2 linked regions of the Coturnix japonica genome follow. The protein of the gene in region 2 purifies or fractionates together with the protein of the main gene of each other region. This does not show direct contact. Links are inferred from orthologs where the notes say so. Each region holds a gene or a part of one and is shown on either strand. Other genes may lie near its edges.

Region 1 (3,875 bases), on a different chromosome or scaffold from region 2:
CTGACCTGTCAGGGAAGCAGAGTTGCTCAGGGGCAGCATCATGGTCATGCTTCTGATTTTCTTATACTGAGGCCTTACAAGTGATGGCTGAAGCTGGCATAGAATCATTGAGGTTGGAAAAGGCCTCCAAGATCATCCATCCAACCATCTACCTACCACCAGTATTTTCCCACTAAACCATGTCCCCTAGTACAGTGTCTACATGTTTCTTGAACACCTGCAGGGATGCTGACTCAACCACCTCCCTGGGCAGCTTGTTCCACTGCCTGACCTCTGAAGAATGGGCTGGTTGCGTGACACAGAGGCTACTGGGCTGTGGAGGGATTGCATGTTTTTCGTACCTGGAGATGCCCCTTCTGCTGGGTGGCAGGTGCTCCATAGCTGTGCTGCAAATAATGTGTTGGAAAATACTGAAAAGACCTTGCTAGGTAAGGGAGCAGCGAGGGTGTGTAGGCAGCAGGGTGAGGGCCTAAGTACTGAACTGAACAGAAGGAAATAAGACACCTAGGTTTCCATTAGCTGTAGTTGAATTAGTCCTTTCTTAATATGTTTGGTCTGTTTCAAAGGGTAGAACTATCTTGCTCTTTGTTTTGCTCTGCAGCTTCTCCTACATCCCTGCCGTTCATTTGCAAACTGGTGCAGCTCTTCCGACAGGCTTGGGCAGCTGTGTTGTCTCCAATCCACAGGCCTCCAATTCAAGACTAAATGTCTTCTGCCTCTGCTCCTATGTCAGCTTGTCTTGAGGACTTTATGAAGTTCTTCAAGGACCGTTGAAATCAGTGTCCTAGTGCAGATGACCACCTGTGATCTCCTGTGAAGTGGTCCTCTCCTTCCTTCAGACAGGGAGTGGTGGTGTATGAATTTTGAAGCCATGCCAAGTATTCCTGACATTACTTTGGCTATTTGGTGCCGTTCTGTCCAACACCAGAGTAAATCCACTCCTTCTGTAATCTACAACTAATTAAGATCCTCCTTTTGAAACACTTTACTTTGGTTGTGGCTCTTGAGTGAGAGTTGTGTAGACAGTTATGAAGTATGATGCCTGTTTGGAAGATGGTTCCATTCTTGCACATATGATGCAGTTCCCTGAACAGCTGAAACAGCATTCCTGGAATCAGGAATGTTAAAAGCAACAGTGTAATTAGGGGGAATATTCTTTTGAGCCTGATGACATCTCAGATCCCAGTTCTTCTAGCATGGGGCTGAGGACAAGCACATGGAAGAAAAACACTGCAGGAAATGAAGCATGTTGTGTTTTGAACACCGTGGTTTCTCTTGTGACTGATGCCTCCTCATACAGGCGCTCTTGATTTTAATTGTATCTATGGCAGAAAGCCGAGGTGGTGTGCTACAAGTACTATTGTGCTGCACCTACAGATCTTAAATGCAGATTATAGTACCTTGTGCTTGCCTGGTGCATGGTAATCTGTAGGAGCCTGTGCCAGTGGTAATGAAATTTATTTTTTTAAATTATGTTCCACATTGTTGTCTAGTTGAACCACTGAGCTTGTTGCATTGTTTTACTCTTTCCCCACCTCTCGCTTTGTTTATGAAGATGTCAGCAAGTCCTAGTATGTCTAGAAACCTTCCTCCTATGCCCATAAAGTCCTAATTTACATGGTAACCATTCAGCAATGCTCTGTCATTCAGAGCAGACAATTGTTTGGTCGAAACTCTGAGATCCCCACAGCTGTGGCAAGAAAGTTACTGTCTTTACAGAAGGTCTTACAGTTGATGCTGTTTCTGATCACCTGGGGCAGAGATTGGAGGTCTGCAGGAGAACAATTAATTCCCACTGATTAGCAGTGAGTGAGTGCCAAGGGAGAGAGCACTATTTCAGGATTGCTTCTAACACGCTGCATGTGTGCTGGAGAAAACAAGTTAGAGCCATGTGGCAAATGTAGCCAGCTATTCCTGCATCTGTGCCAAGATGATTCAGGCTGACCAACATCCACCTTAGAGAAACAAAGTCTCCTTTTTGGTTGGGCAGTTTCTATCCAACACACCAAGCCTGTGTAGGGTAGCCAATATAGGTCCCACTGCAGCATCTTACTGTGGTATCCTCCTTCAAATCAATCATTTGTTCCTAGCAATGGTTCTGCACATGTAGTGGCTGTTTCAGTTTTCTTTACAAGGACAGCAGCCTGTTGGTGTGCTCTGTCACTTTGCAGCCTACCAGGCTATGTGGAAAAGTCTGTGTCTTTACTGCTAAAAGTCATGCTTTGTCTATATTGTTCTTGAGTTATCCTGATAGAGAAGTACCCTGGTGTTCGTGTGAGATAAAGTGGAGCACCTATGAATGCAGGAAGCTGTCATCACCTTGCCTAGTTATCTCAGGTAAACAAAAAAGTAAAACTACAAGACATTCCTATCCTCTCTCCCCTGGAATTTTTGTCTCAGTTGGACTTAACAACTGAACAAGTAGCACACAATGCTTCACCCAATTAAAAATATATATTTATCATATACCGTGTATACGGGGAGGAGCAGTTCTTGATACTGCTAGATGATATATGTCATCTAACTATCAGTGTAGCCACACTTCCCTGCAGCCAGTGCTTGGTGGAAAACCAGGTAGAATCCAACACAGAGGGTCTGGCTGGAATTGAGTTCTTGCAGAAAGTGACTGGATTGCATCTACTGGCCACCTAGTTGCAAGACCTTGCTCTAAAGACTTGGTAAACCAGTAGTTCATGAAACAATAAATTTCCTTTTGAAGTCAGACTAAATTCTAAGCAATATGTGACCGTTCAGCTAACAGCCACTTTTTAAATCTCAGTTTCTGTTAACTCTTCCAGTTAAATGGCAGAGCTGCATTATGGGGAATGGGTTCAGAGGGCAGACCATATGTTATGTGTAGAGCTCCATTAAATATCACAGCCATTCATTTACCAGAACTCCAACATTCAACTTGTTTTTATTGGTACGTTGGCAACCTCCACTTCTTTTGAGTACTACTGATACTGGATTTGAACTGTGTTTAGCTTTCCATGAGAGGGATGAAAGCAGAAACAACCGATCTTTCTTTTTTTGCAATGAATGCTAAACCTGCAATATTTAATTTTTACAATAAAATAAAATGACTACTCATTTACCTCTTTGTAGAGTTGCTTATTTGTGCTGTGATTAAGTGTATCAGAGCTTTAGCATTTAATATATTCATGCTGTAGAGCCTTGAAATAGGTTCTGGAAATGTTTCATATGTGTCCTCGTTGTACAAGTATATTGGAATCAGGTAGCAGACTTGCTAATTAAGTAGAGATTTACATGTCTGCATTTTCATAGGAGTTCAGAAAGTAATAATTATTTTCTGTGAAAGATGCAATATATATATATATATATTTATTTAAAATATATTAAAATATATATTTATTTAAATATATATATATATATTTAAGTGTTTCTATATCCTTTGGGATGGCCAAGATCAGAACTACTGAGAATAAACTACCTGGTACTTGTCTTGATCTTTGTTTTTCTTTGCATTGTTAATGTATCGTGGAGGGAAAAGATGCAGTTGTGTTAATTCCATTGGAATCCTACCACTTAAGGCTTGTTCAGAGAGGATATTTGTGCTTGCCACGTGCATGCAAACTTCACACTGGTATCTCCAGATGTAACAGCAAATGTTCTGCTTTTTGTTCTGGCATCCTCTGTGAAGGAAACAGTTCGATATGTGAAGGAAACAATCGTACGACGAATCTGTTACATTCTGGTTAGAAATGCCAGCTACAACTTTTTTTTTTAAACTACCATTCAGTATGGAAAAGACGCCACTTTGCAACACCAGAGGCCCTGGGTTCGAATCCCCTGTGGTGCAAGTGGTAGAAGTGCCGCTCTGCTACACAGAGGCTCGAATCCTGGGGGGTTGGACT
Region 2 (3,824 bases):
GACAGAAACCTTCCTTACAAAAGACTAAACCATTTAGGGTGAGACATCTTCATAGTAGAAAATGCACGAGGGAATGGGAAATAATGAAAAAGAATATTAGTGAAAGTGCATTTTTTTTTTCCTTTTTGAATTGAGTCAGATCCTACAGCCTGATTCTGCATCATTTGGTATTTTGACTTGTGTCAGGCTCAGCCCTTTCTATGATATTGCTGCTGTCATTTGTATAAGGGCAAACAGTGGTGCTGTATAGTGAACTTCAAGTGGGGTTAAGAAAGAGGGGACTCAAGAGACTTGTGGTAGTATGCTATTGACATTTTGAAAGGCGACTGAGAACATGAGCTTGATGAGGCAATGGGAGCTGACCAAGGGGTAGCATGGTAGGGTAGGGATGTAAAAAAACAAGCTTTATTTCTTCATTTTGTTTTTCACAAATACAATACAAAATACAAAACAGGCAGCCTTGCTGGTGGTGAACCTGAAAGGGGCACTGTTGTGTCAAAAGACACAAAGATTTGAGACATGTGAAGGATAAAGATGTCTGCAAGTGAACTACGTGCTGCTTTAGTCCTGAAAGGCTGGGTTATCTGACCCAGATGTGCACCATGTGTTAGCAATTCATTGTATTCATTAAGAGGCTGTTACTTGGGCCTTCAACGAGGTGAAACTCCAAAAGCTGAAGTTAGCTCTGTTGTCTGAGACCCACTTCCTGCTAGGGTGATATACATTGAGTGATTAATTGTTCAACAAACAGAGGTGATCTGCTTTGTCTGTGCCCCCTGTGTGTTACCTCTACAGAATAAAGGTGCTGTCTTTTCAGGTTTAGTTGTGAAAATACGCATTAATTTGCATATTCAGTATCAAAACCTCACTATACTACGATTATTAATATTTACATCGTGTGTGCTGATGCTACTCTAGGCCATTTAATGTTTTATGTGCTGTTCAGGGGAGTGGACAAATTAGGAGCGTCTTCTTTTGAACACATAAGCCACAGTCTTTTGGGTCGTCCTTTATCTCAGAAGCTGGCTGGTATCGCTGTGGGACTGCGAAGTGGAGGGGTGCTTCTCACAGGGGGCAAGGTATGTGTTCTACTGCTTTGCACTTGCAAACTCCTCCTCAGCGGTCTTCCACAGTTACAGAACTGTTTTCATTAGTTCTCTTTGTCACCATGTAAATTCAAGGAACTAAAGGACAAGCTGAAAAACAAGCAGTTAGCTGAACAGAGTTGATATGGTAGAACATTATGTATGTCCTATTACATTATATATTTGCAATTACTGTGTGTATATGTGTGTATATATATACACACGTGTATGTGTGTTTTATGTACATACACATATATCCATCTATATGATACTATGATGATATATAGGTAGTTATATAAATTTAAAGATTGGTAGCAATACAATTTCAGTTTATCTCCATAGGTTGTTAATCTACTGTATGTTTATATAGTGGGTACTTCTTGTCTCTGAAATACGTGAAAGTAAGAAGACAGTATTTTCTCTTATTTTCTAACTAACATAAAATGTCAGTATAGTCGATGCTCTGCTATGAGCGTCTCTTGTAGTGGCATTTAACACTAAATTCCATCATAATACAAACAACACTGATAAAAGTGGAATCACAGCACTGTTTGTAGTGGATGTAACCGCTCCAATTTTGACCTAGGCTTGTTTCAGCCTATGGCTTCGGTCCCTACCAAGTGATGCAGAGCCAGAATAACTGTATGATTCTGAGGAGTAAAACCAAAGTGCTCCCAGCCCTCCCAGCTCAGCTGATGTATATTTGATAAAAATTCTACAGAAACAGAAGCATGTAGTTCTGTAACTTATATATTAGCTCACATTTATTTTTACAGGGAAGTGGAAAATCAACATTAGCAAAAGCCATCTGCAAAGAAGCTTTTGATAGACTGGATGCTCATGTAGAAGTAATTGATTGCAAAGCTTTAAGAGGTATGGTAGTACCTGTTTCTTTATCAAACAATTGCTTTATGACAAAGAACCGTAATTATGAAGTTACCATATCTAATTTTTCTGTTTTATTGTTAAATTTCCTTTTGCAAGGAATCTTATTTCACATCTGTCAGCTTCTGTCCCTCATACCACCACTGCATTCAAACCACTCTTGCCATGTTTATTTTAAGGTGATAAAATGAGGAGAAAGTGGCAGGATTAACTGCGTGTTTCTTCAGCTGTGCTGGCTGGAACAAATGTAAAAAGTTAAGTGTTAGGGAATGCTTGTGTTAGTGAAAGTAGGTTTTTGATAGAACATGTAGCCTCATGCTGATTCTGCTTTAAAATAGGTATCTGGATTTATAGGAGCGCATGTAAGCTAGCTGAATCCAAGTATTGGTATATTACTTGAGCAAGATATGACAGTCTTATCAGTCATATCCTGTTATGTTTTGTCATTAAACTTTGTTTATCTTTTAGGAAAAAGATTAGGAAACATAAGGAAAAATGTAGAAGAAGCTTTTTTAGAGGCATCATGGAGACAACCATCCATTATTTTAATGGACGATCTTGATCACATTGTTGGAGTACCTCCTACACCAGAGCACGAGAACAGCCCAGAAGCAGTTCAGAGCACTAGACTTGCTTATGGTAATGCTCCACTACCTGTATCTGGATAAAAGTGTAAAGCAACCTAGAATTTCTGGCACCTCAGTTGTACTGTCCCAGCTGGATAACTCTGTCTCTATCATTATTGCCTCTGAACAGTGTGGTATGTTTCTAGATTGGAGTTCATACCGCAGAGGAATATTGTTTAGTATCCTGTGGTAGATATCATCAGTTATTTTGCAAAAATTTGGCTTTTTAAACAGCACTTTTGATGACATTTAGTAATGGAATATACTGTCCCAGAAAAAATAATTGTATTGTTTGGTTGGGATGCTTGGAGGATTTTCATTGTATTAATTTGGCTTGGTTTTGTTATTTTGTTGTTAAAAAAGTCTTTAAACGGAAGAATAAAGAAAATATTTTGTATTTTTTAATGTTTTTTATTTTCTCTGTATATAATGTATGTAATCAAATACAGAATCTTTTTGTTACTTTGCAATTCCTTCAGCAACGTCTTCTCTGTTTAGTTTTGAAAGATCTGATAAAAGAAGTTATTTCCTTGGGGAGTTTGATTGCATTGATTGCTACAAGTCAGTCTGAACATGCTCTACATCCTTGCCTGGTTTCAGCTCAAGGAACTCATATATTTCAGTGTTTCAAATGTATCCAGTCACCAGACCAGGTAAATCTGGGCATTTATTAATTTGATTGCAATGTTGTTTGCTTTCCCTGCAGACTTAAATACAATACTGGGGCAGCTACAGGAATTGTAGGTTACTCTGGGGGATGAGAAGAAACCTGGATATCTTAGAAACTATTTAATGATAGATACTGCAGAACTCCTGTGTGACATTATAAGGCTAAGAAGTAAGCCAGTGAAAATTCCCAGCTGGTCCTATTATCCTCAGTGGAGAGAAAAAAGATGTTATTTTATTCAAAGGATGGTTCAGTTCAAACTAAGTTAGGCTGTCCAAGATAAGTGAGATGTTCTCTTGTTACCTGTAAGGGAGTTCTGCAGAAGCAACTTTGAAAGAACATGTAGATTACTTAGTTAGATAAATTAGACTAAGCTTAAGTGTGTTATTGTGGAGGTTTTTTCTGCCTCTCAGAGGAATAAGTATGTGCTAACATGTTAGTAATGTTGATTACCTCTCAAAATGTTATTAAAACTAAATTTTTTCAGCAGGTTTGGGATTATTTTTCTATATTAATTATATTTAATTTGAATATAGTACCTTTTGGAACAGGAAAAAGGGA

Evidence for each region.
Region 1: the proteins of PEX1 (region 2) and PEX26 purify together in Homo sapiens (affinity purification with western blotting; 3 studies listed by BioGRID and IntAct, with this or other methods). This does not show direct contact. The link is inferred for Coturnix japonica from reciprocal best matches to the Homo sapiens genes PEX1 and PEX26.

Annotation. Positions count from the first base shown.
Region 1 is NC_029516.1:50,688,323-50,692,197, reverse strand, and holds the end of PEX26 (peroxisome assembly protein 26), read left to right. Parts: intron 1-601; coding exon 602-705; 3' UTR 706-3,094; downstream 3,095-3,875. UniProt on the Homo sapiens protein: Peroxisomal docking factor that anchors PEX1 and PEX6 to peroxisome membranes. PEX26 is therefore required for the formation of the PEX1-PEX6 AAA ATPase complex, a complex that mediates the extraction of the PEX5 receptor from peroxisomal membrane.
Region 2 is NC_029517.1:20,660,608-20,664,431, reverse strand, and holds part of PEX1 (peroxisome biogenesis factor 1), read left to right. Parts: coding exon 1-38; intron 39-946; coding exon 947-1,079; intron 1,080-1,861; coding exon 1,862-1,958; intron 1,959-2,438; coding exon 2,439-2,609; intron 2,610-3,094; coding exon 3,095-3,249; intron 3,250-3,824. UniProt on the Homo sapiens protein: Component of the PEX1-PEX6 AAA ATPase complex, a protein dislocase complex that mediates the ATP-dependent extraction of the PEX5 receptor from peroxisomal membranes, an essential step for PEX5 recycling.